4 linked regions of the Caenorhabditis elegans genome follow. The protein of the gene in region 2 purifies or fractionates together with the protein of the main gene of each other region. This does not show direct contact. Each region holds a gene or a part of one and is shown on either strand. Other genes may lie near its edges. The genes, in order: acox-3, clec-137, Y54G11A.9 and srh-56.

What was found.
Region 1: the proteins of clec-137 (region 2) and acox-3 fractionate together in Caenorhabditis elegans (co-fractionation; one large-scale study listed by BioGRID). This does not show direct contact.
Region 3: the proteins of clec-137 (region 2) and Y54G11A.9 fractionate together in Caenorhabditis elegans (co-fractionation; one large-scale study listed by BioGRID). This does not show direct contact.
Region 4: the proteins of clec-137 (region 2) and srh-56 fractionate together in Caenorhabditis elegans (co-fractionation; one large-scale study listed by BioGRID). This does not show direct contact.

What each region holds. Positions count from the first base shown.
Region 1 is NC_003282.8:6,242,618-6,251,968, reverse strand, and holds acox-3 (Acyl-coenzyme A oxidase acox-3), read left to right. Parts: upstream 1-3,476; 5' UTR 3,477-3,489; coding exon 3,490-3,588; intron 3,589-3,632; coding exon 3,633-3,764; intron 3,765-3,810; coding exon 3,811-3,978; intron 3,979-4,138; coding exon 4,139-4,280; intron 4,281-4,332; coding exon 4,333-4,654; intron 4,655-4,815; exon of another isoform or gene 4,816-4,836; intron 4,837-4,965; exon of another isoform or gene 4,966-4,987; intron 4,988-5,131; coding exon 5,132-5,232; intron 5,233-5,279; coding exon 5,280-5,376; intron 5,377-5,424; coding exon 5,425-5,598; intron 5,599-5,700; coding exon 5,701-5,815; intron 5,816-5,865; coding exon 5,866-6,407; intron 6,408-6,458; coding exon 6,459-6,570; 3' UTR 6,571-6,611; downstream 6,612-9,351. Other genes in the region: F58F9.1 (uncharacterized protein), read right to left, coding at 1-144, 191-293. UniProt on the Caenorhabditis elegans protein: Involved in the first step of peroxisomal beta-oxidation by catalyzing the desaturation of fatty acid-derived side chains of ascaroside pheromones, which regulates development and behavior.
Region 2 is NC_003280.10:4,615,349-4,622,637, reverse strand, and holds clec-137 (C-type LECtin), read left to right. Parts: upstream 1-4,547; coding exon 4,548-4,715; intron 4,716-4,767; coding exon 4,768-4,879; intron 4,880-4,934; coding exon 4,935-5,193; intron 5,194-5,244; coding exon 5,245-5,419; 3' UTR 5,420-5,486; downstream 5,487-7,289. Other genes in the region: clec-139 (C-type lectin domain-containing protein), read left to right, coding at 897-1,052, 1,173-1,284, 1,954-2,072, 2,118-2,224, 2,269-2,349, 2,401-2,476; clec-138 (C-type LECtin), read left to right, coding at 2,838-2,972, 3,021-3,132, 3,222-3,477, 3,536-3,710; clec-136 (C-type lectin domain-containing protein), read left to right, coding at 6,105-6,233, 6,288-6,399, 6,457-6,715, 6,772-6,961.
Region 3 is NC_003280.10:14,342,267-14,349,806, reverse strand, and holds Y54G11A.9 (Core domain-containing protein), read left to right. Parts: upstream 1-4,069; 5' UTR 4,070-4,081; coding exon 4,082-4,195; intron 4,196-4,508; coding exon 4,509-4,661; intron 4,662-4,963; coding exon 4,964-5,101; 3' UTR 5,102-5,262; downstream 5,263-7,540. Other genes in the region: Y54G11A.17 (L51_S25_CI-B8 domain-containing protein), read left to right, coding at 401-565, 612-821; Protein lin-7 homolog, read left to right, coding at 1,015-1,215, 1,734-1,891, 1,951-2,026, 2,451-2,645; ddl-3 (TPR_REGION domain-containing protein), read left to right, coding at 5,363-5,526, 5,973-6,105, 6,154-6,512, 6,558-6,735, 7,067-7,152.
Region 4 is NC_003283.11:2,767,453-2,775,388, reverse strand, and holds srh-56 (Serpentine Receptor, class H), read right to left. Parts: upstream 3,530-7,936; coding exon 3,184-3,529; intron 3,123-3,183; coding exon 2,932-3,122; intron 2,609-2,931; coding exon 2,378-2,608; intron 2,200-2,377; coding exon 2,121-2,199; intron 2,058-2,120; coding exon 1,870-2,057; downstream 1-1,869. Other genes in the region: srj-18 (Serpentine Receptor, class J), read right to left, coding at 18-119, 160-471, 754-813, 859-1,047; dhs-15 (DeHydrogenases, Short chain), read left to right, coding at 5,636-5,672, 5,941-6,173, 6,218-6,318, 6,365-6,458, 6,599-6,970; cror-2 (DeHydrogenases, Short chain), read left to right, coding at 7,886-7,925.

The sequences.
Region 1 (9,351 bases), on a different chromosome or scaffold from region 2:
ATTGAATAGAGACGAAATCGTTCAACACTTTGCGTTTGGTGCATTTCTTGCGTGGTTTTCTTGATTTTTCAACCGTATTGGAAAACTGACCGGCATTTTCATTTTGTGTAGTCAATTCTGGTGTCACAGTGGGCTCCACAGAGTCTGCAAAAAGAATAGGTTTTTAAACGTTACACACGTGAAAAATTACCAGTTGCTGGTGGGGACGGTGTTAATTGAGACCAGTGATAGCGACCGTACAAGTCCGGTTGCGGGACCACGGCGGGGCGGGGGTCCGAATACAGAGGATTCATTGCGCGCACCACTCCCGATCGTGACAAAAATCTAAAATGACAGGCAGTTTGTAAATGCGGTGCACATAAGGGAAAATTGTGGCTATTCGAAAAGACAACTGAAAAGTGGAGGAGGCAGGCTATACAAGAAAGTGTGTATGTTTCCAGAAATGCAACCCTTTTCGTGTATGCACTCTTTTTTAAACTTCGAGGTAGTGGTCTTGTTTGTTTCTGCCTGTGTGTGTGTGTGTGTGTGTGTGTGTGTGTGTGTGTGTGTGTGTGTGTGATGAGCTCCATAACAACTTATAGCACGTTTTATATTCACGCTTGATTGGTACTGAAAGCCAAAACATCTTTTCACGCCTGAATGGTACGGAACGCAACAATAACGGTAATGAGGAAAACATGCCAAATACGAAGAATCTAATTATAATTAAACTATAGTGTCGACAATCGGATTTCTCATAAAATCAAGTGAGAAAATTTGGTCAAATTCTGCATATACTATGCAGTAAAGACCGCCGACGGGAACCTTTTCTCGGAAATTTAAACGAATGCTGACGTTTGTCTGTCGCACCAACTCAAATAGTGAAGTGTCCTGAGCAACGGGACTCAATTCAAAACCAAAAATCGTATATCCGCCTTCTTTAAACATTTGGGTGCTAATAGAATTACATGTGGAATTGCTTCGCGAGTGACCGAGGGTTTCTTGAAGTTGAATGTATGCCTCCATAAACTTGTTTCTGTCAAAATCTAAGGCAAAAGGGCGGCCGGGGAGTGTCATTCCACAATAATCAACATGTATATCAGATATACCATGTGGTTTGAAATTGAATGGTGATTTATCATAAGAGCCATTGTACGCGTCAGAATCAACAAGACCAATGAAAATTCGACGGGGCATCTTGCTTGTGAAGAGTGTGTTAGCCGGCGCGTCAAGACGTCCAGACTCTATATAGAAACTGCGCACCTGTGAAGATATTAGAGGATATTGGATTATTTTGTGCTCAATAATGGAGCTCTCTAGAGCATTAGATAGACCGTCGGCAAGATCGAATTCGTTAACCAGAGCGTAAACGTCGGTTATTTTGAACTGAAACTCTGTGTTGTTGTCGCGATTGTAAACCTCAATCAAAAATTTACTATCATTTGGGTAAACTGTAAGTTTCACATTACAACCGTTCAAGAGCACTCGCGGCTGATTCATCAAGTCAATCGAAATGTTTGCCGCAACTTGTATTTCGTCCTGGTTGTAAATTGAGGCACAACGCTGTTGAAACCCAGGACTACGGTGGTCGCCAATCACAGGGTCATGATAGAAACCGGCCGCGGTTAGAGTGGAGTTTTGAATTTCCTTCCCGTACATTAAAACGTGTTCAAAATAGCTCTTGTACGCATAGTTTGACGAGTTGTGAAAAGCTAATTGTGAATTAATGTGTAGTGTGAAATTTCAGATCGACTAGTTTTCCGGTCACAACTCGGATCCCCGTTTTCAATGCACAACTTTACGATCCACACATTTCAACGTTTTATACACTAATTAATGCCAGAAACTTATTCGCAACATTGGCACACATGAAGCAATAATTAATAGGCACACACGGTTTTCAGTGAAATTCCTCAATTATTCTAAAACGGGGGACCAACCGAGAAATTTGCAAAAATGCGCAACTTTAAGTCTTTTGCACAACTATTCCCACTATACTACTAACTTACTCTAATTGCTTGATGTTTAAGCAATAAAATAACAGAAAAATAACATAGTATGATATATTGCATAAAAGAAGATAGGACCGCCACCAAGCAGTCGAAGAAGGCAGAATGAGTGATTTCTTCTTCAGAAAATGGGCGGGTTTGTGGCTTCTCTGACTCTCTCAAAAGCTCAGAATGTGTGACGTTAGAGCTAGAGATTATTGAAATGTAGGAGGTTTTGAGAGATTAGCAAAAAAGGAAAAAAGGATTAGAAATGTTTTCAAGCTCTTCTTTATGCCAAGATCATGAAACGAAAGACTTGTTTGAGAAGAGGGAAATAAGATTATGAAATTATGAAAAAAGATGGAAAATAAATAGTTTTAATTGTATTTCAATCATGCTTCAATTGGCCAACTCTTGTGTTCAAATTTAAATTAAACAAAAAAATTATTATGCTGTTTCACGAATACTATATGAACAGAGGCATTTTCTCTGTTTTGATATTGAAACTTCAGCTGAAAAAAAGATCTCGTAAAAACAGTCTTGATCATGAATTAAACTAATCTCTTCTTGTTAATGTTAGTAATGATAGAAAAATATTGCCTGAACTTTGTGGTTCCACTTATTTTAACTTATAAAATAGTGAAACGCATCTAGTAATTCGAAGAAAAAGCAAACTCTCTATTGAGGTTTTCAACAAAATCACAAAGTTGGCAATCACATTTTTTTCCAAATTCCACAAAATTGATGAGTAGGTTTTATCGGACACCTAATATAATTGCTCAAGTCAGAGCAAACCTATTATTATTATCAGTAATTTCAAGTTTTGGTAGTTCAGCCAAAATTGATTTCGGGAAAACTATGAAACCGCTAAAAATGTTTACATCAAAGTCTAAACTGCAAAAATGTTGGAAAATATTGTAAAAGTATGAAATATTGAAGTTAAAGTGCTAATAATTTTTAATTTAATTTTAATTTAATTTAATTTTTATTTTGACCAGTACGCTCCTGGAAATGTGTTACCCCCACTTTCGCCAAAACTGTATTTAGAAATTTTTTAGCGTATTTTTATTTAAAAACATGTTTTACACTTATGGAAATAATACTAAATTTTTTATTATCCACTACGTTGTTTTAAACTATTTACTTGTCCACATTCTCTCTCCGAGCCCACTTTAAAACAAGGAAACATGAATTTTCTGTAAAATTTCAGTTAATTTCCTCTGACCCTTTTTACAAACACCAGCTAATTACAATCTACTACGATAATTTTAAAAGACCATTCCTCCCCCTATTTATACAATACCACCACGCTGTAGTCAGACTGTCTTCGATCTCTGCGTCTCTCAATTACTTTCTATTTTCTTTGTTTTTGATAAGACTACACTCTTCCTACCCAGTACATATGCAATTGCTTTTGTCTTAATTTTGTTCAGTTTATTTTAACATATATTCTGCTGAAAATAAAATGAATCTTTTGAATTTAAAGGATTTATTTAGTAAATTTTTCAGTTTCAGATCAAAAATGAGTGCTCCTTTAATTGACAAATACCGGAAAATGGCAACTTTCGACTGGAAAAAATTGAAAGCAGCCGTTGAAGGAGAAGAACATGTTAGACTGAAGGTATAGTAGATTTTGGATTTATAAAATATTTATATATATTTCAGTCAGAAGTAGTTGCTAAAATGAAGTCAGAACCAGTATTTCACAGAGATTATCGAGTATTGAGTAGAGAAGAGCAAAGAGAAGTTGTTCATCAGAGATGGAAGAAAATTGTCGAATGGGGGTTGTTCAAAGATGTATTTCTTATTAAATTGTAGATTTTCAATATATTCGAATATTCAGCCGTACTCCGATCTTGAAAACTTCCATGCATTGACTGAAACTCTTGAAGCTTATGATCAAGGCACATCTGCAAGGCTTTTCCTCCACGGAAATGTTTTTGGAGCAGCTGTTAAGTCAATGGGAACAGATAGACATAAGGATTTGATTCAGAAAACTGAAAACAATGAGGTGAATTTCAAAGAAAATAGCATACAAAATTAAGAAGTACTCAAGAAAAAGAAAAATCAAAACAAATTTGAAAATAATTTATTCTAAAGAAATTTAAACAAAAGCGCATTGTATTCAAATCTGGAAAGTTTAGGTTTCCTTGCAAAATAGCAAATTTCAGATCGTCGGAGCATTTTGTCTGACAGAAGTAGGCCATGGTTCAAACACTGCTGAAATTCAAACAACAGCTACATTTGACAATGGAGAACTTGTTTTCAATACTCCAAGTGTCAGTGCAATCAAATGTTGGGCTGGAAATCTCGGTGGGTTTTAAAACATTTTTAATTTTAAATTTAAAAAAATCCATTTTTTTAGCTCACTCGGCCACTCACGTAGTTGTTTATGCTCAACTTCATGTCGAAGGAAAGAACGAGGGATTTCATGGATTTGTGATTCAAGTTCGTTGCCCTAGAACTTTCCAAACTCTACCAGGAATTACCATTGGAGACATGGGCTCGAAACCAGGATGCTGGCAGGGAGTAGAAAATGGCTGGATGGAGTTTAAGAACCATAGAGCTCCTCTGAGTGCACTTTTGAATAAGGGTTGTGATATTACTCCGGATGGAAAATATGTGACAAGTTTCAAATCTGCAAGTGAGAAGCAGAGTGTCAGTTTGGGAACATTGTCAGTTGGAAGGTATGTTTTCAATACTTTACGACGCCGGCCGTATAGAAAAATTTTTTAATTGAGTGAAATTTGTATCTAAAAGAATTTCTGTTAAAAAAATCAGGTTCTGAAGAATTTCTAGCCGCTGTTTTACCAACTTTTTAAATGTGTTGTTTTTTTCTCAGTTTTAGTAGATACAAGATGCAAATTTCACGGCCGAGCCTTATTATCAATAAAAGCAAAATCTCAAAACGAATCTATTCCAGCTTTAATCGATACTTTTAAAATATGAATTGATTTTCTAGAGTGAAGCCATTGTATTTAATACAAATAGAAATAATGGAAATGGCATTCTTAGGACAATTCGAAATTGTAAAAGCAGACGAATTCATAAAGTTGGGAAAACAGTGCAATCTATAAGTTTTTCCGATTGATTTTTTTCAAACAAAATACTGTTTCAAAATTCAAACTTTACCAACAATGGTTTCACAATAACACAAATTTCAGACTCGGAATTATCGCAAAAGGAATGATGGCTTGCACTTTTGCATCTACAATTGCTATTCGATACAGTGTTGCTCGGCGACAGTTTGGACCAGTAAAAGGCGGTGAGCACCATTCCTTTTCTCAATTTCTCAACTTTTGTATAATTCAGCTGAAAATGAGATCCCAGTTCTCGAGTATCCACTTCAACAGTATCGTCTATTCCCGTACCTATCCGCTGCAATTTGCATTAGAATATTCCAGAAGAAGTGGGAACTCTAAACAAATTGTTTTCAATAATTAGTTAAACTTTATAGGTTTGTCGGACATTTCACTGAATATATGATGAGAGTCATAATGGGAGAAAAGTCAGACGAGCTCTCCGAGTTCTCAAAAGAAGTACATGCATTGTCGTCTGGAGCTAAACCGGTTGCAACGTGGCTTGGTGTAGAATCCCTTGGAGAAGCTAGAAAAGCTTGTGGAGGTCATGGGTATGTTTCCTAACATAACCTGAAACTTAACTTTAAGAAACTCATTTTTTGAGAATTCGTCTTTCTATTTTTTCCAGATTAAAGTTAAAATTTAAATTACAGATACCTACAAATGTCACGATTGAACACCCTCCGAGATGACAACGATCCATCACAAACATTTGAAGGAGAAAACTTTATGATTTTGCAACAAACCAGCAATATTTTGCTAGGAAAAGTAAACTTAATTGTCAGATTCTTTAATCATATTGAGATTCTGATGTTCAGGCTCAATCAATTGGATCCATTGAGACCCCGATGTCTACTATGTCATTCTTGAATCAAAAACCTTCAAAGTTCTCATCATGGTCTTCGAATCCAGTTAATGACGTGTTGTCTGCGTACCGATATCTCACTTATCACTTACTTCAAACAACTTCGGCAGAAGCTTACAGACTAAAAGCATCTGGAAAGAATTCATTCGAAGTTCGAAATGAAATTCAAATTCATAGAGCTGTCAATTTGTCTGTTGCATACACAGAACATACAATGATCCATTGGGTTCAACAGTTCTTGAAAGAAATTGAAGATCAAAGTGTGAAGCCGGTTCTTCAAAAAGTTTTGAATCTTTTCTCACTTTTCCTTTTGGAAAGACATCTTGCAACTCTTTATATTACTGGATATGCTTCTGGTGGAAAGTTTGGAGAAGATCTTCGAGAGAAGCTTAGACTCGCTGTAGCCGAATTAAAACCCGAGGCCATTGCTTTAGTGGACTCGATTGCTCCAGATGATTTCATTTTACATTCAGCTCTGGGAGCATCTGATGGAAAGTCAGTTTTAAAATGTAAAGGTTTCTGCTGAACTTTAAATTTGATTTTCAGAGCGTACGAGCATATAATGGAAGAATTCCGGAAGTATACAAATGAACAACCAAGATGGGTTTGCGATTTGGCTCAGTTTTTGCAAAAGAGATCACAAGGATCCAAGCTATAATATTTCACAAACTGTATATTTCCCAATAAATCCAGTTTTTGAATAAATTCAAAATATACAAACAATTTCAAATTTCTTTGAAAGCTAAAATTTTTGCAAAAAATAAAAATCTAAACGTATAAGCAAAGTTTTCAGATTTATACATATCGTCGACGTGAAACGGCAAAATTTTTTAAATGTTTAATTGAAAAAATTTATTAAAACTTTGGTACCCGGATGTCAGGAAATGCTTAAAAGGCTTCTAACACTGGAAAATAGTTTCTCATTTAGAACCAAAACGATAATGTTGCGTTAGTTTAAATGAATTTATATGATTAATGTGAAACGGGGAAAATTTAAAATAGTGATAGCGCCCACGGGGAAAATGTTTAAAACTATTTATTAAGTGCCAAAAATCATTGTAGAACTTTCACAATGTATTTATAAAATAATATTTATATGAAATAACACCAAAATTTAATTTATTTCCACGCCAATTTCTAATTTTACTTTAAAAACTGTTCTCACAATATTATTGTATCAATGTTGTCGCGAAGTCGATGAATACAAAGATTAACTCGCTCACGACTTTTATTTTTAATTTCTATTCTCCACGTGATAAAGAATCCATTTCACATATCTGGAGAATTTATAAATTTATCAACTCTCATTAATTTGCTAATTGGCTTGAAAGGGTTGTGCATCAAAAAGGTCTTCCGTTTGAAATTCTTCGCACGATGACAAATAATTTCAAAAATACAATTTTCAAAACTTAAAGTTTTTCAGAACTCGTCCGTCTGATTCTCCAATGTCAACTTTGTATTGCGTGCGAATAACTTCAGGAAACTCTACAAAGGCTCAGAAAGGCTGTAAAAGCTCGAACACAACTGAAGCTCCGTATACCAATGTTGCGTGATTTCAAAAAAGTGTTATACCATCAATGGGAAACGGTAAAAAGTTTTTTTTAATTTGTAGGTGCAAAATGCTTTGAAAATTTTTTGTTTCGAGATTTTAAAAATAGAATAACACAAATTTTTATCAAATTTCAAACAATAATCATTTGATACCATCCGTTAATATAATCTCCATTGTAATCATATTTCCAGTATAAAGAACCCATTTCACATGTGAAACTGATTGAAAGTTTTTCTAACCCTGATTCAATTGATGTCATTGCTCTACACGGACAAGTTGTTGTAGATTCAGTATTATTTCCTGTACAATTACAACCAGCACTTTCTGATAAACATCTTCGCGTTCTAATCCACATTGTATCGCCATCATTTCTTCCGTAACTGGAAAAAGAGCTCCAAATTCCTCCAATTGGACAACAATTATATGTTGAGTTAGAAACAGATGCAGCAGTTTCAGCGGCTGTTGTTAGTGGTCCACATTGAGTTGTTCCGTTCAGAACCATTGAGACATATGGAATACAACAAGTACGTTGAGCTGGATATGAACATGGTTATGTGTTGCACGGATAGTAGCGAGTTGCATTTCCACTGAAAAGAAATATTCTGATGTACATAAATAATGGTAGGAAAGTTTTTTCATCCTTGATTTTTTGCATTTTCTACAAGAATTTTTGGAGTGGAATTTTTTTTGAAATTTCACAAGTTATAGAAAACTACTCAAATGAAGTGTTTTGCAAGGTATTTTTTTCAGGTTTGGTTACACATCGATGCTCAATAATTGGGGAGAAATTGTGTTCCACCCTTAATGATACTATTCCTGGTGAATGGCGTGAGCAAATCTAATTTTGGAAGTTTCCAAGCATATCATACCTGTCACAAGGACAACTTATTTCCTCTGAAACGCAGGATAAGTTTTAGCACAAGAACCACAACTCGCTGAGCATTCGACACCTTCTGCATCAGCCCATTCACTCCATAAACCACCAGTTGGACAAGTCACGTTGATGGAACATGTCTTCAATTTTTAATTATTAAAAACTAAAAAAAATCTTTAAAAAACTCACAGAGCGATCTGCTCGACAAATTCCAGCAAGGAATGCCACCAAAATAAACACATGCCACATTTTGATCGTATTTAGTGGTTTATGAAAGATTTTATAGATATGGAGAATGGAAAGAGAAACTTCCATAAGAATTTCAATAAAACGAACAAACACCTGAGTCCAACAGTTTGGAGTTGATATGTGATATCTGATCAGTTGAGTATATCAGCATCAATTTTTGGAAAAGTGAATATCTGAATTTTTAATTTTTGAACTTTAGAACTTTATGATTTTAGTCGAACTAAAACTTATAATGGAATAAAAATTATTCAATAGAAACAAAACTGATAAACAAGTATTCAAAATTTTATATTTTGACCGCCAAGTTTTGCCATGAATTTTATGAATTTCATTAACACCTTTATTTTTTGCATTGGGGAGTTTTGAATGAAATTTAAGTGTTCACATCAATTTAGTTGAGATTGAGATTTATTGAAATTATCAACAAATAAGTTTTTCACAACACATGCTGAACAAATCCAGTCACTGCATATCCACCGTAGTCATAGACCCAATTCATATTTTGCATATGACAACTGAAGGAAATATTCAAGGTACTTGTACCAAGAACACGTCGAGCTTCACAATCAAATGGACGATCTTCGAGTCACTGATTGGGGACTGATGTTGAGAACCGTACAAGTGGAACATAAGTTCTTCCTCCTGTAAAATTTACGACAAATTTGATTGCCAGTGCTACTATTTTCAGAAAATTTCAGATTTGGAGTCTTACCATACGCGCTACACGCCGGTGATCCCGAAATATCATTACTTGCTATCAATGC
Region 2 (7,289 bases):
TACCTTCCGCGCACCTGACAGTCACCGACCGGAACGTCGGCGGTCTCCATGGATCGTGTGATCTCTAAGTTGTTCGAGGCGCGGAAATCATTTTGTTCTCATGGATTCCGAGGACATCCGAGCCCTGGTGTGGTGAGAAAAAGAGAATGAAAGACAATCGGAACGCACTAGAATGGACATTCGGAGTTGTTTGTTGAACATGCTCCCTTTGTAATGAAAAAAAACAACAATTCAAACTATAATCGGGAGAGAGAGAGAGATAAACTCCCGCTTTGTAGGTCATCCATTAATGTGTACTTCTTAACTTTAAGCTAAACTTCAAGGGGAAAAGGAAACTCTTAGGTACATGAAATTCCAATATATTATTTTAAAGAACTCTTAACCATAAACAAATAGAACATTAAATTATAAGTAAGTTCACAGTTGACAGGTTTGTCAGAAAATTGATGACAAGCGAGATATGTGTGTAAGGTAGGCGTAGGTCAAAGACGGTCATTGTGTGCCTGAATAGAAGGCTCCCAATAACTATGATTTGTACAATACATTCCATTTTTAAAGGTTAACGTTTCTAATAATCGTTTTCCAAAAACTAGATAACTTTTGTCTTCAAAAAACAAATTTTGACTAGTTTTTCAGTAGGTAATTTAAGAAAAAACTGTAACAATCAAGGTTTATTCCCGTCCAAATTCAAAAGTTCAACGATTATCATGCAACATGGCCTTGTCCAAAAACTATGGTTTTTTTTATAATTTGTACTCAATGTATGTGTCATCAAGAGACAGTGTCTACTTTCCTTCCTTCAGATGGCCCGTCTCAAGATGATGTGAAGACTAAAAGTCAACCTCCCCTATATAGATCAAATTGTCTTCACTCGACATCTTTATTTCTCGACGACGATGAGAAGTGTTTTTCTGATTCTTATTGTTGCCTTATGCGGCGTTGTTGAAGCATCTAATGCAACAGAGAAAGAAGTTGTATGTCCGAAAGGATTCAAGTTGTATGAGAGGAAGCCGACGCAGAGGAATAAGTTCACGAAGAACTGGTGTATGAAGGTGGATTAAAGGAAATAATTTTTCAAAAGTTTAGTGGTTTATCGCGATCCCAAATTTCTGCCCGCTACTGAATTTAGAAATGAGACAAACTTAATTTTCAAATTAATTTTAATTTTTCAGGTAATAGAAAACGAGGATGTCTATGATCGACCTATCGCAAGATCAGTTTGCCTAGATTATGACGCAGTTATTACGAATGTCGAGAACCAAGAGGAGCTGGATGATATCAATGGTAAGTAGCTGCTCAATAAATAAGAGTATTGTTAATTAGAAAAATTATATGTAAAGTCCAACGGAACAATTTCCAGTTGACTAATATTTGCCTACAAGGTGACAGGCGCCTGCCTTTTGCATGCCCACTTACCTACTTTTCAATTGGCAGTTTAAATCTAATAGAAGGGTTTCGGTTGTGACGAAAATTTTTTTGTAGACATGCTGTTTTTCTACGTGGAATTTTTTCTAAATTTTACTGAAACTAAATACTTCAAATGACAAAAAAAGAAGACAGTAAGTAGGCCTGTAGGCAGACAAGTAGAATAGGGCCTACCCGCCCTTCTCGTCTCTTATTAAAAATACGATCGGCGTGATGCCATTTTACAAATTCTCGCAAGCTGAACAAACACCTGGAGGCAGCGATTAGCATTCGTACTATTTTGGAAAGCGAATTTTCTGGTTTTTTGAAAAATTTGGAAAATGTGAAAAAATAGAGCCGGCGGCTAAAACTTTTCTGAAAGTTATGTATTTACTAACATGCTTAAAGCCAATCACTGTTATCATTTATCAAACAAATTATGTAAATGCAACGTCATTGTTATTGAATGTAAATGCTAAAAGGCACAACAAAGCCGACAGAAACTGACAAACAACTTTTAGGCAAGTTAAAACTGAACACAAATTTCAGCTTTAATTCGAAAAAACAATAAACGAGTCGCAGTGGACGGAGTGTTCAATCCAAAATGCCGAGGTTTCAGCGACTGGCGAATGAGAAAGTTTGGAGGACTTTGCGCAAAAGAAAAAGAGGTTTTTGTTTCGAAAAGTGTGTTTCAAGTATCCCGATCGTTTTAGCTATTTATTCTGGAGGACGATCACACCGATCCAGCGTTCATTCTCACAAAGTGGTCTGGAGAACCGCCAACTTCATCAGACAAGTATCAGGAGAAGGGGGACTCTACGTAAGGAACCCAGTGGGATAAAAGCTTCATGTTCTAGTTTTCAGAGAAATTTTCACAATCGCTGAATGTCTATCTCTACATAATCTCCAGGCAATCAAGAATACTGGAAATTTGAAGGATTTTTTGTGAGTTTTTTTTTTGCAGGATTTTCAAACCCAAAACTAAAAAAATTTCAGGTGCGGCGAAGAACCAGACAAACAAGTCGGCGAGGTGCCATTCTTCGGAGTTCTGTGTGGATGTGCTCCAGTATAAAATTATTTAACTAGTGCCAAATGTATAAACAATTTTTGAATTTTTTGAAGATTTTTCAGAGAAATCTGTCCTCGAGGCACAATATAAATTGTTCTTACAATGTATGCCTAGTTTGAAAATGTATATCATGACTCGATTTTTTTTGTGTTATAAAAAATTTTCCCTCTAGAAAAAGTTGAAAAATAGGTAGAAAAATAAAATGCGTCATTTCCGCCCAGCCCCCGAGATACCGTATCATTTTGATGTATTCGGGGAATAATGGTTCCGCAGAAACGGAATCATTGAAGGGATGTACAGCTTTTTTATAGCTTTTGACTAGTACAAAAGCATACTGAAAGCTTCTTCTTGAACTCTTCATAACATGTTAGTTTTATTCTTACTATTCTTGGTTGTTCCGGCGGTTTCTGCAAAGGATCCAAGATGCCCAAAAAACTTTACTTTTGTCAAAAGAACACTAACTTTTAAGAATAATTTTACAAAGGGGTGGTGCTTGGGGGTACGTTATTGATAGAGACAGTACCCAGTTTTAAAATACACTTTCAAGATTTTCAATGGAACGGATGTGGGAAATCGTGACCGAGCCCGCTCAGTCTGTCTCTATCATAACGCTTCGCTGAGCAATCCAGAAAATTCACATGAACTTGAGATTGTTTCTGGTAAGTTGATCATGTTTTTTTTTAAAGACATGTCTTCAATTCAAAATCGCTAGGAAAAATATGCTTCTAAATGTGTAATTAATTTTTAGACGTTATTCGCGCACGGAACATTTCCCTCCCGATTGCACTCGACGGACAACTCTCTCCAAGATGCAAGGCCCTTATTTTCAGAGGCGAACAGAGCCAACAATATTTTGACCAAAGAACAGAGGAAGGAGATTGCAATATTAACAATCATTTGTTTGTATATGATGATATCAATACAGATACTTTATTTATCCGTTCCAAACTAGGTACTTCGGCTGGAACTAATGGAGGATACTCCAGTCAGGAGGACGGAGTAAAGTAAGTGTATGAAAATTTCTAGATTCAACGTCAAACAAGTCTAGAATTCAATTTACAGATTTCGTTTCACCAGAGATTGTAACGCATTAACAGATGCATACTATTACTTTTCTAATGGAACACATTTCTATGCGGTAGATGGACGAACTGAATTGCTCGGATGCTTTGGGGAAAAGGATAAGCAAAATAAACACGAATATAGTAGTGTTCTTTGTGGAAGATTCCCTCTCTGAGTTAATTGATCAGAAAAGACAGTTGTTAATAAATATTTTGGAGTTGTTGTTCGAATTCATCACTTGTGATTATATCAGAAAATACCAATTTTGCAACAAACATCAGTCGAGGATATGCATAATTTTCATAATAAGTATTTTTTGATAGCTAAAGATTGGAGCTAATCATATTTCAAAATTTACAGAGACAGGACTATTTTAAAAGTAAACTACCCTGTAACAAATCAAGAGTTTCGAAGCTTGAAATCAAAAAAAAACTTATTCTTGTAAATCATTTTATATTCTACCTCGGAAGCCGACAAAAGCTTGGTTTTAAAAAATCTAGCTTCAAAGTCTTGTTTTCAACCACAAATGTTTGTGTACATAAATTTTTGGATAGGTATCATAACAAGCAAGAGGGCCTTATGTTAGTCATAGGCTTGCACTCAGTTGCTCAATTTTGACGGCTAATAACTAGGTTGTGTTTTGTTTTACCAAAAATTATAAGCTGACAAAGAATGTGTTACAAATTTCTCTACAGTTTTGGTGTTAAATGTTTTTGATAAAAGGGCTGAAAATGAGGGTACTTTTGTTAGAATCTTTATTAGATCAGATATTTTTTTGTTTCAAAGCGCATGGTTTCAATATTCTTGACAACTTCTATCAACCTACGTGTTATATAAGAATTTCTTTGAATGAAATCATCCAACCTGATGAAGAAATATAATGCGTCGTTTCCGCTATCCAGCCCCGAGATACAGTATCATTTTGATGTATTCGGGGAATAATGGCTCCGCAGAATCGGAAACGCTACAGGGGGCGAACAACTGTTTTATAGCTTTTGACTAGTACAAAAGCATGCTGAAAGCCTTCTATGAAGTTCAGTATAAAATGTTAGTTCTATTCCTACTATTTTTGGCAGTCCCAGAATTTTCTGCGAAGGATCCAAGATGCCCGGGAAACTTTACGTATTTCAAGAGAACACCGACGGCAAAAAATAACTTTACAAAGGGATGGTGCTTGGGGGTAAGTTGTTCATATCAATGACACCTAAATAGTTTTAAAATGATATTTCAAGATTTTCAATGAAACGGATCTGGGAAATCGCGACCGAGCCCGTTCAGTATGTATCTATTACAATGCGTCGTTGAGTATTCCAGAAAATTCACACGAACTCGAAGTGATTTCTAGTAAGTTTTTGAGGATTTTTTTATTGCTGCATGCGGAAAAATGTAAAATTTCCAGAGACTGCTAGCTTGAGAAACATTTCCGTACCAATCGCTCTTGATGGACAACTCTCTCCAAGATGCAAATTCGCAATTTACAAAGGACAAGTAAAGGGTGCAAAACGATTTAATCAAACTTCTGAAGAAGGAATTTGCAATATTAAATATGAATTGTTCATATATGATGATATTAATACGGATACTTCATTCATTCGCACAAAGCTAGGTGTTTCGGCAGGATCAAACGTAAGAAGTGTACAAGCTGATGATGATATCGAGTAAGTTTTGAAAATCGACTTTCCTATTTGCATCCAACATTTCATTTTCAGGTATCGCAGTACAGCAGATTGTACCGTTTTGGAAAAAGGATCGTATCACTATTCTAATGGAACACTAAAAGATGGGCACACTAATTTGATGGATTGTATGGGACAGCTAGCTGGCTCCAAGAGGCTACCAGAAAAAAATGTCACCGCCGTTCTTTGTGGCCGATTGCCGTTCTAAGTAAATGTATTCTATCATTTCTGGAAAGATTAATTTTCAATATTTAATAAATATTATATTTCCGAAATCTTTCTGATATTTCTTATTACCTTAGCTGATTGAAAAGATAAGGTACACCCAATTTGTTTCCGCAAGTGAACTTCAGGTTATTCTTAGGCGACGAAAATCCCTGTGCGGGTTTACAATTAAATCATTTTCGCAACGAAACATTTCCTTTTACAGAGTTTTGACAAGTGTGTATACCATTTTTGTAAACTAAAAGTCAATTAATTCATCTTAACTTTCGTCTCGAACTTTTCGTTTTTAAGTTCCATCTTGTTGATAATACGGCCTAAAAATTGTAAAAAATTTCTCAAAGCTTCCTATTTTCTGTGTCAAGAAAAATCGGAGAGCTCTACATTATCTCTTTTTTGGCTTCCGGAAAACTTTTAGAGTAAATTTATAATGTATAATTTATGATAAACCTCAAGAAAATAGGTACAACAAGCATCTGCTACGTCCAAATCAAAATGTTTAGAAGAATAAATACTACGGTAGAGCATTTTGTGGGTGTTGTTGAACATCACGCTTTTGTTGAAACGATCAAATGCTGTCGGAAAATAATGGCTCCGCATGGCTTAGTCACAATTTTATCGATTTCAATAGGTACAAAACCCCGCCGAAACTTTTCAAAACTGACAGAAAAATGTTCGTTTTCTTTTTGCTATTTTTGACTGCGGTTTTCGCAAAGGATCCACAATGCCCAGAAGGGTTTTCTCATGTCAAGAGAGTCCCAACTGCAAGGAACAATCATACAAAGGACTGGTGTTTGGGCGTAAGTTCCAAGTTTTGGGTTTTGTGTTCATAATGCTTTATGACCATATTTCAGGTTTTCCAATTCAAGAACATGGGAAACCGAGACCGAGCTCGATCATTTTGCAGTTATGTGAACGCTTCATTGACCATTCCAGAAAATGAGCACGAGATTCAAGTGTTTTCTGGTAGGGATATTTTTCAATAAAAACATTTTCAGTGTTGTAATCTTCAAAAACTTTCAGAAATCGCCCGAGCTCATGGAATTGAAGCTCCTTATGCTGTTGACGGTCAAATTTCTCCAAAATGCAACGGTCGTATTAATAAAGTCGAAATCATACTTCGTCATCGATTCAACAGTACAGAAGAAAAAGGAGATTGTAATATCAAGAATAATCTATTTTTGTTCGATGATGTCAATAGTGACACTACATTCATGCTGAGCCATTACAAACGTCGACTTCCAGCTGCTTATATGGTTCATCAAGCTGACAATGGTCCAATGTAAATTAGACATAATTATCAAATAGCGTGAAATCATAAAAAATCAAATATTACAGATTCCGATTCGCCGCTGATTGCATTGTTCTAAAATCTGGAATTGTCAAGGCTAATGGCACAGAAACAAGAAAGAATTGGGGAAGTTTGGAGTTTTGTGTGGGAAAAAATGCAGTGCAGGCTTATACAGACGATGAAAAACCATATGGAAACGACGTGGAAGCAGTTTTGTGTGGAAGACATCCACTTTAATTGTTTTGAGAAACTTATAAGAAATGTGGGTCCTAGAAATGTGATGCACCTTGTCTTTAGTTTTGATTGAAAATTGTCAGCTGAAAAAATAAATTTCAATTTTTTCTATAGTTTTGTAACTTAGTATTAAAAAAATAACATTGAAATTCCCTACAAAACAGTGAAAACTGTAAAAAACAAAAGCGAATAAAAAAAATCTCGAGTCTCGTTTCCCCCATTATACATAAGTACATCAATCCCTATCCTTTCCAACATAGAAAAAAAACACGACACGGTCTATATGATGCGAATATTCGGTAATACGCGATTTAGAGATGATGGAGGAAAT
Region 3 (7,540 bases), 9.7 Mb from region 2:
AACGGCAAAAATCCGGCAAAAAGTAACACGAAAAACAGCCAAAAAAGAAATTTCGAAACAAAATTGGCGCGAGGAAGACAGTTAGATGCGCAGGTTTTCTCGACTACGGTCTGCAGTACACGTTGCGTACTGCGTACAAAAAATGTTGACCGTAGTCTCCAAAACAATTAAGCATTTATCGGACTTTCCGGAGCAGGATTTATTCATTTTATGCTTAAAATTAAACATTTCTCAATATTTTATCAATAAATTAAATGAGAAAATTGTTTAAATCGTTAAAAAGCATTAAATAATGCTGAAAAACGTTAATTTTCAATAAAATATCTTTCTAGTGATGCAATGCAACTCAAAATTATAATTTAACAATTAAAATTATCTAAATTCAAATTTAAATATTCAGATGGGCCTCAAGGGATTCACCGGTAGTTTTCAACAAATTCGCGGACTTCTACGACCACCAAAGAATCTCCCGTTCCGTGGAATTTTCCGGAAAGACGGAGAAGTTGTGCGAAAAGACGATTTGCTGGTGAATCAATTCAAAATGAATTATCATCCAGGGTTAAATGTAAGATTTATTATCAAATATCTTTGATTATTGAGAAGTTATTCAGGTTTACTATGAAAACGATCGCGGAGAACGTCTTCTGCGTGCCCATTGCGACGGAATCGTTCGTATCTCCCAGGAAAAATGCGATCCGGACTATGAAATTGAGGAGATGAAGGGATACGAGTATAGGAAAGACGTGGATTTGTACAAAATGACGTTCAATGTGATTCCGCTGGAATTGTCTCAGAAGCACACGCTGCGACATGAAATTTAAATTTAATTTTTTGTCGATTTTTTTTTTGGTTTTGTTGTGTTTAATAATTTTCTGACGGGCTATGGTCAATTAGAATAGTAAATAATGTTTTTCCGCTCTGGATAGCTTAATTTTGTAATTTTTAATTGGTTTTCTTGCCATTTTTACCTATTTCCGTCCTATTTTTCCCCTCCTTTCCAACCAAATCTTCCAGATGGATAACCCGGATGGTCCGAATTTGGAGCGGGACGTTCAGCGTATTCTAGAGCTCATGGAGCACGTTCAGAAGACTGGAGAGGTCAATAATGCAAAATTGGCATCGCTGCAGCAGGTGCTACAATCCGAATTTTTCGGTGCCGTCCGAGAGGTCTATGAGACTGTTTATGAATCAATTGATGCGGATACAACGCCAGAGGTTCAGTTTTTTTTGATAAAACTGACAAAAATGCCGGAATTGAAATTTCCGGCAAATCGGCATATTGCCGGAATTCAAATTCCTGGAAAATCGGCTTATTGTCGGAATTGATAATTCCGGCAAATTGGCAAACTGTCCGAATTAATACTTCCGCCATATCTGCAAATTGTGGTTTTGCACATTTTTTTTGGAATTTTCAAAATTTAAATTTTAAAAAATTCAAAAAGGCACAGTTTTAAGTGTTTCCGTATAATGAAAATCCCTACAAAAAATTCCGGAAAATCGGTAGTTCGGCGAAAATCAAAATTTTCGGCAAATCGGCAAATTGCCGGAAATGCAAATTATGGCAAATCGGCAATTTGCCGAATTTGGCAAAAAAAAAGCCGAGCGACAATTGCCGCCAACCTTGATAATTAAAAGTTGTCGAAATTTCAAATTGTAGTTTTTTTATTTTTCGAAATAATTTTGAGCCGTTTTTGAACAACAGAAAACAAAAAAAAACACTAAACATTTTTCAGATAAAAGCCGCCGCAACAGCTAAAGCAACAGTGGCGGCGTTTGCTGCAGCCGAAGGCCACGCGCATCCACGTATCGTTGAGCTCCCAAAAACCGATCAAGGGCTTGGATTCAATGTTATGGGCGGCAAGGAGCAAAATTCACCGATTTACATCTCCAGGTGCAGATATAAAAATATTTAATGATTTTATAATTTAAAAAAAACGATTTGAATTGCAGAATAATCCCTGGTGGCGTAGCCGACAGACACGGAGGTCTCAAACGAGGCGATCAACTTATTGCGGTCAACGGAGTGGTGGGTTAAATGTTTAATTCAATTTTTTTTTAGTTTTTTTCGGAAAAAAAACATCGAAAAATATTGATTTTTCAATGTTTTTCAATGAAAAAAAAATCTAAAAATTCATTTTTTTAAGCAAAAAACGAAACTTACTTTAATTTAAGTGTTTTTTTATCGAAGATTTCAGATTTTTAGTGTTTTTCAGAAAATAAACCGGAAAAAAGTAAAGGAACCAGTAATAAAAGACAGAATTTTTCGGTTTACGAAGATTTCCATATAAAAGAACATTATAAATTTTTCTTAATATTTTTTTTCGAAAAAATGAACAATTTATTCTCATTTTTTAAAATTGAAAACAACTACACTTTTAATTAGTAGAAGAATATAACTCGAATTAGAAAAAAAACTTTGATTCAAAAAAATAACTTTAAAAAAATTTCAGAACGTGGAAGCCGAATGCCACGAAAAAGCAGTTGATCTTCTGAAATCCGCAGTCGGAAGTGTAAAGCTAGTGATCCGTTATATGCCGAAACTCCTGGATGAAATGGAGCGGAGATTCGAAAGACAGAGAATTCGATCCACTCAGCAGAGTCCAACACTCCCGACGCCGTCTTCTTCGACAAATCCACGAAGATAAAAAAGACGGAACATTTGTAGAAATCAAGAATTCGAGAATTTTTGGAAAAAATACGAAAAAAGCCACAACAAAACTAAATGTTACGGGAACACTAAATTTCGAGAATGCGTACTGCGCAACATAATTGACGCGCAAAATATCTCGTAGCGAAAACTACAGTAACTCTTTAAAATATTACTGTAGCGCTTGTTTCGATTTACGGACATCATTTATTAATCGATGAAATATCGAAAGAAAACACAAAAAAAAGACAACAAAAAAACAAACAAAAAAATATATTTTTATTTTTTATACAAATTTGTGTTCGAATTGGTTTTTCGTTTTTTTTTTTGTTGTCTTTTTTATGTTTTCAAATGATGTCCGTAAATCGACACCAGCGCTACAGTAGTACTTTATAAAATTACTGTGGTTTTCTCTTCGAGATATTTTGCGCGTCAATTATGTTGTGCAATACGCATTCATGTGCTCCCGTAATATAGATAATGGACATTAAAACAATATTTCTAAAATTTTTGCATCAAAATGTTTTGAGGCCCCACGAAAAGGGGAGCAAAACGAAAAGGGGATCTGCAAAAAGGGGATCTGCAAAAAGGGGATCTGCGAAAAGGGGAGATACGAAAAGGGGAGCAACGAAAAGGGGAGCTGGCACTGTGCCAAACGCACAAAACGCAATTTTTCTCACGCAACGCACGTTGATTTTTGAAATTTTCTTCTAGAAGATACGCTTAACAACACGCGACGCGTAACATCGGAGCATCGTTGTATCGTTTTCTTCGAGAAAAATAGCGCTTGGCACAGTGCCAGATCCCCTTTTCGTTGCTCCCCTTTTCGTATCTCCCCTTTTCGCAGATCCCCTTTTTGCAGATCCCCTTTTCGTTCTGCTCCCCTTTTCGTGTGGCCTCAATGTTTTACTGCAAGAGTTCGCATTTTTCTGCAAACATTGATTAGTTTAGCCGAGAAAATAGAACTTTTGTAGCAATATTGAAAGATCTTTTCTTGAAACTGAAATTTTCGCTGAAAAGTTTGCATTTTCCACCATAAAATCCCTATTTTTTCTATTTTTTTCCAGTTCATGTATACTCATTTCTAACTTCTTCTCTTCTATTCTTTGTTCTAGATTTTTAGATATCCCTATATGTACATTATTATCTCTTTTTCCGTTTTCAGACAAATTTCCAAAACAATGTTAATCTCAACACTCACCCTCTCCCCAAATTATTGCCCAAAAATTGCTTTAATAATCTTGCTTTGCCTTACGTTCTTTCAAATAGGTGCTTTTCTCCATGTATCTTTAATAACTAAATTTTTAAAATAATTTTTTTTCATTTTTCGGCATTTTTAAAAAAATATTTTCCATGTTTCAAAAATCACGAAAATCTATCTTTTTGATGTAAAATTCAACTTTTTTCAGATTTTTTTTTCAGAATTTTCTCGAAATGCTCACACAAAAAATCGGCAGACTAATGGCTTGTACAGTAACCCGACAGGCTCATCGGATGCTCACCGAGCAAGAGATTAAAGTGACGAATAAGGCAGCGAGCAGGCTTAAAGTTAGTCTGTCCTTGGGCGCCCAATTTTTTTGAAAATTAGAAATATTGTAAATGGAAAAACGAGAAATTTCGATTTTCCAGTTTTTTTTTTCGGAAAAAAATCGGCACTTTCCTATTTTTCAAAGTTTTTCAAAGCATTTAATTTCCGGTGTTTTTTTTACAAAAAAATTGTATACTTTTGATTTGTAGTGCTTTTCAGAGAAACCCCGATTTTCAAAAAAGAAAGTTAAAAAATTTTGTGAATATTGTTCGAAAATTCAATTTTTTTCAATGACTAGAAAAAAACCTTAATTTAAAAAATTAATTCTTCAAGGAAGTCGTTGATAACGGAGAACGCCTACGACTTGAGGTGGATGGAGGTGGATGCTCGGGATTTGAGTATAAAATTCGATTGGACAAAAAAATTAACAACGACGATTTATTATGGAAATCATCAGAGAATGGAGCTGAAATTGTGGTGGATGAGGTGAAAACGTGTAAAAAATGTTAAAATTGATGAGAAAAATCGTAGCGAATATTCAAAAAAAATTTCTCACAAAAGTCAATTTTTTCGGTTTTTTTCTAAACTTTGCCGAAAAATTTTAAAATTAAAAACAACGGTTTAGAAAATTTCGCCCAAAAGGCAATTTTTTCGATTCAAAAAAAATTTTCTGAAAAATGTTAAAATAAGAAAAACAATTAAAAAAGTTTATTAGAAAAATCTATTTTCGTGTAACAAAAATTTAAAGCATTCAATTTTTCTGTGTTTTTAAAAATTGTAATTTTCAGCTCTCCCTTGGCTTTCTCAAAGGCGCCACCGTGGATTTCGTGGAAGATTTAATGAAATCTTCATTTCGAATTGTCAATAATCCGATTGCCGAAAAAGGATGCTCTTGTGGATCAAGTTTTGCGCCGAAAATGGATTAAATTTTCCCTTTGTCCCTGTATTTTTTCTGTAATTATTAATTTTATCTTTAGGAATTTTTTTCTAGTTATTATTTAGTGATTTTGTAGTAGTAGACAATTTTTTGAGATCGTTGTTTGAGTCGGGTTAAATTCGTAAATTATTAATAAGATTTTCAGATATTTTTTTTTGTTTTTTACAATTCCCTCCGGTTTCCCACCGTATTTTCTATTTAATAATGATTCACTTTATTCAAATGTCTCCTAAACCTGAAAAAAATGCAGATGCTGCCATCCATGTCCAAGTTATGTACGTCTACGGTCCGTCCTGTGGCGGCCGCCTTCTCCACCGGGACTACACGTCAGCATCATAGCTCGGGGCGGTCACGACAGCAGCATCATCGTCATGGGGGCAGCGGTGGAAAAACCAACGGTGGCGGGAGATGGTCGTGAGTTTTTTGGAAACAAATTTTTTTCAGATTCTTTTTTAAGCACACAAAATTCCGAGAATGCGTATCGCGCAACATATTCGACGTATTCGACACAAAATATCTCGTAGGGAAAAATACAGCAATTTTTTTAAATGACTACTGCAGCGCTTGTATCGATTTATGGGCTCGATTTTCGAAATTAATTTAAATCGTTTATTTATCGATAGAATATTGAAATTAAGCAAAATATGAGAAAATAATACGAAGAAACGAAGGAAATGGAATATAGCGAAAATTGAGCCCGAAAATCGACACAAGCGCTACAGTATACTATAGTCATTTAAAGAATTACTGTAATTTTCCCAACGAGATATTTTGCTCGGCAAATATGTTGTGTAATACGCATTCTACGCATACGTAAATAAATTAAATTGAGTTAAAAATTCTTAAGATCAATATTTCAGTAGATATGGAAAAAGTGCAGCGACCGGCGGAACTACAGTACTCGCTCTCTCATGGATGACAACTATCAAGGATGTGTTGGGCATTGAGAAGGTGCAGCTGGATGCTGATCCATTGAAAGAGAAGGTTAAACAGGTAATTGTACAGAAACATTTTCCTCGCGAGACCCTCCTCTTTTTCCAGTCTTGGCTTTACCGGAAACGACGCCAGTACGACGATGCAATTCAAGTACTACAACTGGCACTAGAGGAGGCTGAAGAGCGGAAAGAAGATATGCCAATCACACGAGTCTACGATGAAATGGCCAATACTTTTTACGAGAAAATGAATTTGGACGAAGCCGATAAATATTTTCGAATTGTAATTCAGCGCCTCGTTCAGCTTCACGGAAAAAAAGATTTTGACCCGGAGTTTATCGGAGTTTCTCTGAAACTTGCCGACATCTTGGCACATCGAGGTGATCTCGAAAGCGCGGAAAGTGGTTTCAAGCATTGTGTGAGAAGACAAATGAAGGTTATGGAAGAGCATATGAAAAAGTTTAGGTTTGTTGTATAAAGTATTTAAAAAAGTTTAGAAAAATGTTTCAGTGTTGCTCACGGAGCTCTTGTCGAAGACCGACACACTGTCGATACGTTTGGACCAATGTACACCGACCCGATTGCACTTTTTGGAATGACGTTAGAAGCGTACGCGAATTTTTTGATTAATTATTGCGGAGAGACCCGGATGGCAGAAGTTGAAGAATATATTGATGAAGTCATGAAGGTTTGTAGTCGACCCTGAACCTGAGCTGCTGTGCAGCACTGTTAACTGGAAACTTTGAAAATGTTTAAATACCGTACTGTAAAATTTTTTAAAAAATCGAAAAATTTCCATTTTCGATTTTCCGATATTTCGAATATTATTTCAATTTTCAACAATTAGCTTAAAATTTTGGCCATTGTGCTTCTTTTTGGTACCCCTTTTAATGTTTTTCCTCATCAATATAAACAAAATTTGATTTTAAAAAAAAATAATATTTTATGGTAAATTTACCGAAATTTTTTTTTGACTTTTAGTAAAGCCGAAAAATAGAAAAACAACACCCTTGATTCAGATATCGTATCAAATCTACGGAGCCAGCTCGGCACATACAATAAATATGCTCAATAACTTTGGAGCAACGTTAGTGCTCAAAAATCGGTAAGCTTTGCAAGAATAAAATGTTTTAATTAAAAATTAGAAAAATTAATGAATACTAAATATTAAAATTGAACATTTAAAACTTTTTTTGGTACTTGTGTATTATTAAAAATTAATTGTTTAAACTATGAAATAAAAACGTGTGGAATGCTTTTGTAGTTTTAGGCTTATATGGTGTTTTTTAATAGGAAAACATCATTCCTCAGCCTAAAATGGGTATCAGGTTTAATTAAAACCGATAAATTAATGGAAATTTAAGTGCGTATAGTTCAAAAGTACCCTTTCACACTGTCCTAGAACGGGGTTTACGTGGCAATCCCTCCCTCTTATCATTAGAGCTAAGTTTCATTTCGAACTGCAAAGTTCACGTTATCTGACTAAAATTTGA
Region 4 (7,936 bases), on a different chromosome or scaffold from region 2:
AATTTTTAGAAACTCACTTTATAACCTAGGACAAAATATAAAGTCATAGAATAGGAAGCAATAACTGTCACAACTCCAGTTCCTATCCACGCTCGGAAAACTATTCCTGAAGAGGCTTCCTAAAAGAATTGCTTCGATTTTATTTTCAGAGACATTTACCGCATATACTGCAATTTTTGTACTAATTGTGTTCACATCCACGCCGTATTCTTCTTGAAAAGCTTGTCTCACGTAATTCCTTGATTCGTCGCTCGAATACATAGTTGGCTCGACTACAAACGTCCATAGACCGATATGGAATATCACAAGAAAAATCGATAATATCAGACCGTATGGCATGAAATAATGACTAACAAAACTTGTATTTTTCAGGACATTATAGCGAAAAATGAAATGAATGTTGAGGATTCCATAGGTTCCAGCAATAAACGCACATCGCAAGGATATTAAGGTAGGGGCAAAGTTGGAACGCTGAAAAAAGGAAAAAAGTATTCGAAAAAACTCAATTCAATTTTAACTATTTTAAAGGCTCGTAGTTGTGCTTCAAAAAGATTAATCACACAATACAAATTTTTTTTGGAAATGTTTGTTTTTTGTTGAAAAAAACTGTAACCTTTTTCAACAAAACCGGTCGAAATGTTTTAGTTTTTTTTTTAATTACTTGTTGTAGATTTTAATTATTCGGATAACAATTTATGTAAATATAATATTGTTTGAACTCGCAATTTGAATCTCTATCATTCAAGATATTACCTCTGAAAAAACACTATCTACAATGAAGAATACAGCCGCATAACGATAGCTATAAACACACTGAAAAAATTGAAAAGTTTGGATTTAAAAAATTGAAAAACTTACGGCTGGTATCAAAATATCCACAACTGATGCAGTAAGATTAAAAATTGCAAAAAAGTATAAAAGATAGCGATAATCACCGAATTGAATCACTTTTTCCGTACGTATCAGATATACGAATACAGGATTGGCTATGAAAGACAAGATAAACGTTATTTTGGGAATGATAAAGTGAGCCCAGTTGATAAACATGGAGTGCGTAGAATATTCACCGAAAGCAGCTTATATGTCAAATGACAAAATTTTGGTTCTGAGAAGAATGTGTTGATACGTGCCTAACAAAAGAGAATGTACCTAACATTAATCTCATTATACATACTAGGTTGTCTCATTTTTTGGCAAGTTTTCACAGACACCTTATTAGTTCCCACGATGACATGATGTAACAAGGACATAGCTCAAGCACGGAAAATTTCCAGTGAAGCGTGAGTAAGTAGCAGGTCAGTGAAATCTCTAGAAACTTTTCACACGCTTCGATACTTGAAAATTTTTTTTTTCGATTTTTGACAATTTTTCGAAATTGTTGAAATTACTGAAATCGGCAATGTTACCTGAATTGCCATAATTTTCAAAAATGCCGAAAATTTTCAAAAATCTTAAATTGCCAAGACTGCCCAAAATGTTAAAAAACTTCCGAAATTGCCAAAATTCATGATACTGCTGAAATTGGTGAAAGTTCTAAGTTTGTCCAAATTGCCCAAATATTTTAAAACTGCCAAAAAGTTTGAATTTGCGAACATTGAAAAAAATTGTCAGAAATCCTAGAGTTATCGAAATTACCAAAATTGACAACTTTGCCGATATGGATAAATTGTCAAAATTGCTGAAATTCGTGAAATTGCCAAAATTTTTCAAAATTGATGAATATGCCAAAATTGCCAAAATGGCTCTCACTAGCAAGATGCGCATCTGTTTCCCGAGTGAAAATAGTCAAGTTTTGTCCAAAAAAAACATATTTACTAAATATTTGTAAAAAAATCTTGCTTGGCAAATAAAACGAAAATTTAAAAAAAACTAATTAGACACACTTCCATGTGGAGACGTCACAGGTTCCACGATGATAGTCATTCTCCGTTGTGAAAATCGTTGTCCAGGGATCAGACTTTTAGTGAAATCTCTGTATGGTTTGTAAATAAAAAGGGTGCAACAGGTGCATAGAAGTCCGTGATTTGCCATAATTAGCATAGCGTTGTTGTTGTAGGCTGCAAAAGTTTGGAACGTGTTAGCCATGTTTTGGCTTTTTTAAATAATTTGCACTTTCTCACCTTGATTATAGTAATTCATTTTGTCTGCATACATAGTGTAGGCCACAGGAAATGCAATGGCAATCCATGGAATTGAGATCTAAAAAAACACATGCTAGAATTAAATGTTTAAAATTTTAAAAATTTTGTGGTTTTTCAATTTGTCAAAAACATTTTTAAATTTTTAAAATTGAAACAAACCCATTTAAATTTTTTTTGCATTTTTTTGCAGTTTCATTTGGCTATTCCAGTTAATTTTCAGTTATAGTTATACTCACCTGAATAGAAACATTCTTCAGAAACTTTCGCTGAAGATTCTTCGTCGCCGCCGATATTTTGGCACTTGATACTAGTGTGAGGTGATAAACGGTGTGTAACAAAAAGAAAAAAGTTTGGAAAATAACAAATCCAAAACCAATTGTGATTGACCAGAATGGCAAGACCTCTCCGCCCTGCAGCAGTACATAGGTTTTTGGGTCCCAGAATTCGCTCGTCGGACAGGGGATTCTCTGTAAAATTAAGTTGAATTTGAAGACGGGTGTTAAATACACACGACCGAAAAATATAATAAACACTTCAAAAGTTTTTAGTTATTCAAAAATTGACATTTTTGAAAAAAATTGAAAATTCCCGCAGATCTGAACTCCTAGAATGTTTCAATATTATTAATAAGAACGCAATTAATTCAAAAAAAATCTTTTGGTCGACTTCCAAAATTAGGATATGTGAAAACTGAGAGTTTTCACATTTTTGACTTTAAATATAAAATTTTATAAAATTTTTTGAACATTTCTAATATCTCTGAATGGGCATTTTAGTACATTTTACTAACCTCCAAGACCTTCTGTCTCATTTTCAATTGGTCAGTGTCGTCTAGATAAAATGGAAGCATAACAACAAATGTGAATAAATAGTTTAATGCGAAATATGTTAAACGAGTTTTTCTCCGTTTGATTTTGAATCGAATCGTGGAAATTTGACTATGTTGATTTTCATAGAGCATTATAAAACAGACACCCATCACTGAAAAACATGTGGTATTTGAAATTTATATTTAAATTTCCTAAAAGATCCTAAAACTTACTAGTGACGGAAACCTGTCCCCAATACGACTGCCACTTGACACCTACTCCCAAATATCCTAGAAGCCCAAGGGGTACTCCGGAGGCACTCGGAAAAAATATATACGGCCCCGAGTACACTGTGAACATCAAATCGAGATTTGTGCTCCAAGCCAGGGATATTAAAAGTGGGATTTTCATATTTTTCATCCGCTTTGGCGTCTTTGTTATAACTGTGTAAAATGTGAATATGGATAGAGGAACTGTTAAAAGTGCTGTGAAATGATATGCATTGCGCAGATAGTCTGCCGAGCCAAAATAGGAGTAGGTTTCCCGGCAGTTTGAGGTGTTGTTGTCTGGCCATGCCATTGGTTTCCTGGAAGATGTTTAATATAATAGGTTTCGATAGGAATTCCGAAAGTGTTCACAAGCTAAGCGTTACAAGAAAAATTCCTTAAAAAGCCAGAAAACCAGAGCCTAAAAGTTCAAAGCCCCATTTGCATGTAAAATGATCCGCGCGGTAGAGTTGGACGCGCCGAAAAATTCTTGATCGTTGATGTAATACCACCGTAATCCTGCTAATTTGATAATTTGAGGTGCGGAGTTTTCAATTTTTTTTTCTCGGAAATTTATTTTTCTAGGAGGCTCTGACTTGGAGTTTCGATGTAATGCTAAATGCTGTGTTAGTGATTAGGGACATTTAAAAAGGGAAATGTGTTTTGTGACAGATCAAATGATCATCTAGGTTGGCGATGCAAAACAATACGGCAAAAAAGTGTAAAAAACTGATGTCTTGCAGCGGACATTTCCCGGGTTAATTGGAAAGTAAATGGGACCCCACATCTTTCCTGATTTTTTGTCCGGAATAGAGGCTTTACCAGAAAAATCTTTACAATTAGTTCTTCAATTTTTACAGAAACCTTTTTATTTCAACATTTCAGAATCCTAGGTTCAACAGCTGGAAATTTATCAATTGGACAAAAACTTGGTTTTAATTCTATTCAAACAAGGGCCTATTCAAAAAAATTGAGCTTCTTATCCACCTAAAAGTAACGTTTGATCCAAATTATCGGGCTAAGAAAGGACTAAGAGTAGTCGGTGCTGAAGATGAAGTCAAAATTGAAAATCAAAGGTTTGGGGTACATGTCAAAAAAAACAATTGTAGGAATTGCTAGAAGAAACTCAGCGGATTCAGTTCGAATAGTTGTTTGAAAAAAGTAGATCCTCATAATTTGTTCGACTTCTAATTTGACCAGAAATCTACTACACCGCAGTAGAAATCAGGTATCCTGCTGTGTTTTGTCTGTGGCTTCTTAGCTGCCGAAGCGAGAAAAATGCAAACAAACTTCGAAAATGTCATAAATTTATGCTATTTTTGCAAACTTAGTGACGACCTAACAAATCTAGAAAAATTGAACTTTCTACCAAATCTAAGTAGATTTTTTTGGAAACCAATAGATTTAGTTATATTCCAAAAAACTACATACTTATGAAACTCAGAAGTAAAAGCTTTCAAAATGTGACTGAACTCGCCAAAAAGTTCAATAAAATGAGCCGCGCGGTAGTTGTTTCACGCCGATAAACATTTGATCGTTGATGTAATACATTTCCACAAACCTGCTAATTTGATCAATCGGGGTACACAAGTTTCCCAATTTCCTTATTTCTCAGAAATCGTTTCTCCAGAAGGTCGTGTTCAAGTACTTTTCTGACTTGAATTTTTGATTTATGGTTAATTGTAAATGTTTCGTGACCAGGAATCTTTCAGAGAAAAACTTCTTCTTCATCAAATTACATAATTAAATGTTATTTGAATATTTAAACAATCTGATACTTATTTTAAAAGTATGGTAAATTTTTGTAAAGTTTTTGAAAACCTCAGGGGTCCTGAAGCTGTTGTGTGGTCGATTTTTCAATTTTTGAGGTATCAGAATTTAATTATAGGTACGAAGTTTTTTTTTAAGAAAACCACTGTCTGGATAAAAAATTATTTTTCTGCAGTGTTCCTACATTTTTTGTACGAAAGTTTTCTGGCGCCAAAATGAAAGAATTTACATTTTTTAGATTTACCTTCCATTTGGTGTTTGCGAGTCATAAATCGAATTCCACTAAAATAACATTTGCACACAATTTAGCACAAAACTTTATAGCCGCTAATTAAATCTTGCAACTCATAGTTTGAGTCCAAAAATCTGCGAGGACATTGAGCCTTAGATATTTTAGTTTAACCGAAAAAAAAACTCAAAAACTAGCATTTGTCTACATGGTCAAAGTTCATCTCTCACAAAACCGAAAAAAAGTTTAATCTGTATTAATTTGTTTATCGAGAGATACCCTAATCGGCACGCGACCTCACAGTCTGGCGATCCTCCCATTTTCAACACTTGAACGAACAAATTACATTGCGGGCGTGCGCGGCAGTATATAAATTTTTGAGATTCACTTTTAGTGACCAAAATCTAGTACTTGTCAAAAATGGGTAGATTCTCTGATAAAGTTGCAATAATTACAGGTAAGGGTTTTTTTTAGAAAATGTAGTGAAATTTTTCATCCAGTACCTTCAGTCATTTTGTAAAATAGTCTGTTCAATTGGGGGAACATATTTGTTTGGAATTTATTAAGTTTAACTAGAGTAGCGTTGAAATACTGTAATGGTACTTTAGGGTTACTGTAGGATTACTGTAGGATTACTGTAGTTGAGTTAAGCTTTTGAAAATCTCTTTTTTTTATGTTTTGGCAGACCAATTTGGAGATAAAGTCTCTCAAAGTATAACGTTCAGGCTCATCTTCCGGAATTGGTCGCTCCACGGCAGTCCTCCTTGCTCAGGAGGGAGCTAAGGTTACGGTAACCGGAAGAAGCTCGGAAAAAATCCAGGAAACTGTGAATGAGATTCATAAAAACGGTGGCTCCAGTGACAACATCAACATTGTTCTCGGCGACTTGAATGAGAGCGAATGTCAAGATGAGCTCATCAAGAGCACTTTGAGCAGATTTGGTAAAATCGATATTTTGGTGAGATTTCTCGACTTTTTAAAATTTTTGACTGTTCCATTCAGATTAACAATGCTGGAGCGGCGTTTGCTGACCCATCTGGAAAAATTGGCTCCGAGGCGGCGATTGGCATTTTTGATGATATGATGAAGTTGAACTTGAGAAGGTATATTTTATTTACAGGGGATTTTTTTAATTGTAACTTATTTTAGTGTTGTGGAGCTTGTCAAAAAGTGTCGTCCGCACTTAATCGCTAGCAAAGGGGAAATCGTTAATGTTTCTTCAATTGCTGCTGGTCCACAACCGGTGAGTAAAAGCGGGCCAAAAGCGGGCCAAAAAACGGGCGGCAGAGGGCTAATAACAGGCAACACGATATTTTATCTAAAAATTCGATACAGTCGTCTGAAACAACTCCTCTACAACTTACAGTAACATCATTTTTTCAGTACATCTACTACACTTACTACGGAATCTGCAAGGCCGGCCTGGACCAGCTCACCAGGAGCTTAGCCTTGGAGCTGATTCCCTTCGATGTTCGTGTCAACTCCGTGAGCCCTGGACTCATATCAACCAACTTCCTGGGCGCTGTAGGTATGGGAGATGATGTGGTGAAAAAGACGGAGGAGTACTACTCCACTCACCGAGATTGTATTCCGGCTGGCCGTACTGGAAAACCTGAAGAAATCGCATCACTTATCGCGTTTTTGGCTGATCGGAAATCGAGTGCTTATATCATTGGACAATCCATTGTGATTGATGGAGGGACCACTTTGGTTTTGGGAATGCCAAGTCATGATTTGTCGAAAGCTTTGGCTTAAATTTTTGTTCATATTTTCCTTTTTTTTTTGATTTGGGAATAAATACAGACTACCTTAATTCAGAATGGTGCGTCGCATAAGGAAAGGCGCTTTTTTTCAGAGAAAAGTATTTTGGCAGAAAATTTAAAATATGGATGTGTCCGAAATCGTATAGAAAGTTCTAGTTCTTTTTTTAAATATTTAATGTTTTTCTTGCAAAATTGTTTTCGGACAATTTGAATTTTCTACCAAACTGTATTCTGTTAAAATTTGAATTTCGCGCCAACACATTTTTTTTCTGGAAAATATTAATATTCCTCTGAGGGGGGGGGGGGGGGCTGAGCGCCTAATGTCGTTCGGCGAATTCGGCAAATTGACAAAGTGCCGGTTTGCCGATTTGCTAGAAATTTTTAATTCCGGCAAATTACTGGTTTGCCGATTTGCTGATTTGTCAGATTTGCCGGAAATGTTCAGAGGGATTTTTTAAGACGGAAACACTTGGCCTTTTTGAAATTTTTTTCCGTTTCCTTTCGATATTTTCATCGAATTTTCTTACTTTTCAAAAGATGTACGAACAGGATGCACGCAATTTTTCCGATTGAAATTAAAATTCTGAAATTTCCAAAAAAAAATGTGCAAAACCACAATTTGCCGATTTGCGGCAAAATTTTCAATTCCGGCAATTTTCCGATTTGCCGGAAAAAATGATTTGCCGCCCACAGGTACAGACGACAAAATTATAGAATTGTGTAAAAAATAACACTCACCACGCTTCTTGCCAAACGTTTTTCTTTTGATAAAAAGATCACATAAACTACGACTTTTATCTAGTTTTATCTATTGCAACTGATACGTTAGGACACAAAGCACACTTTGTAAGATTACTTAAAAGAAATTGAGAGAAACTATCATTTATTCGTGTGTTTTCTGCTGGCCATGCTTTCTCGATTTTCTGGCAAAGTTGCACTTGTCACCGGTAAGAATTGT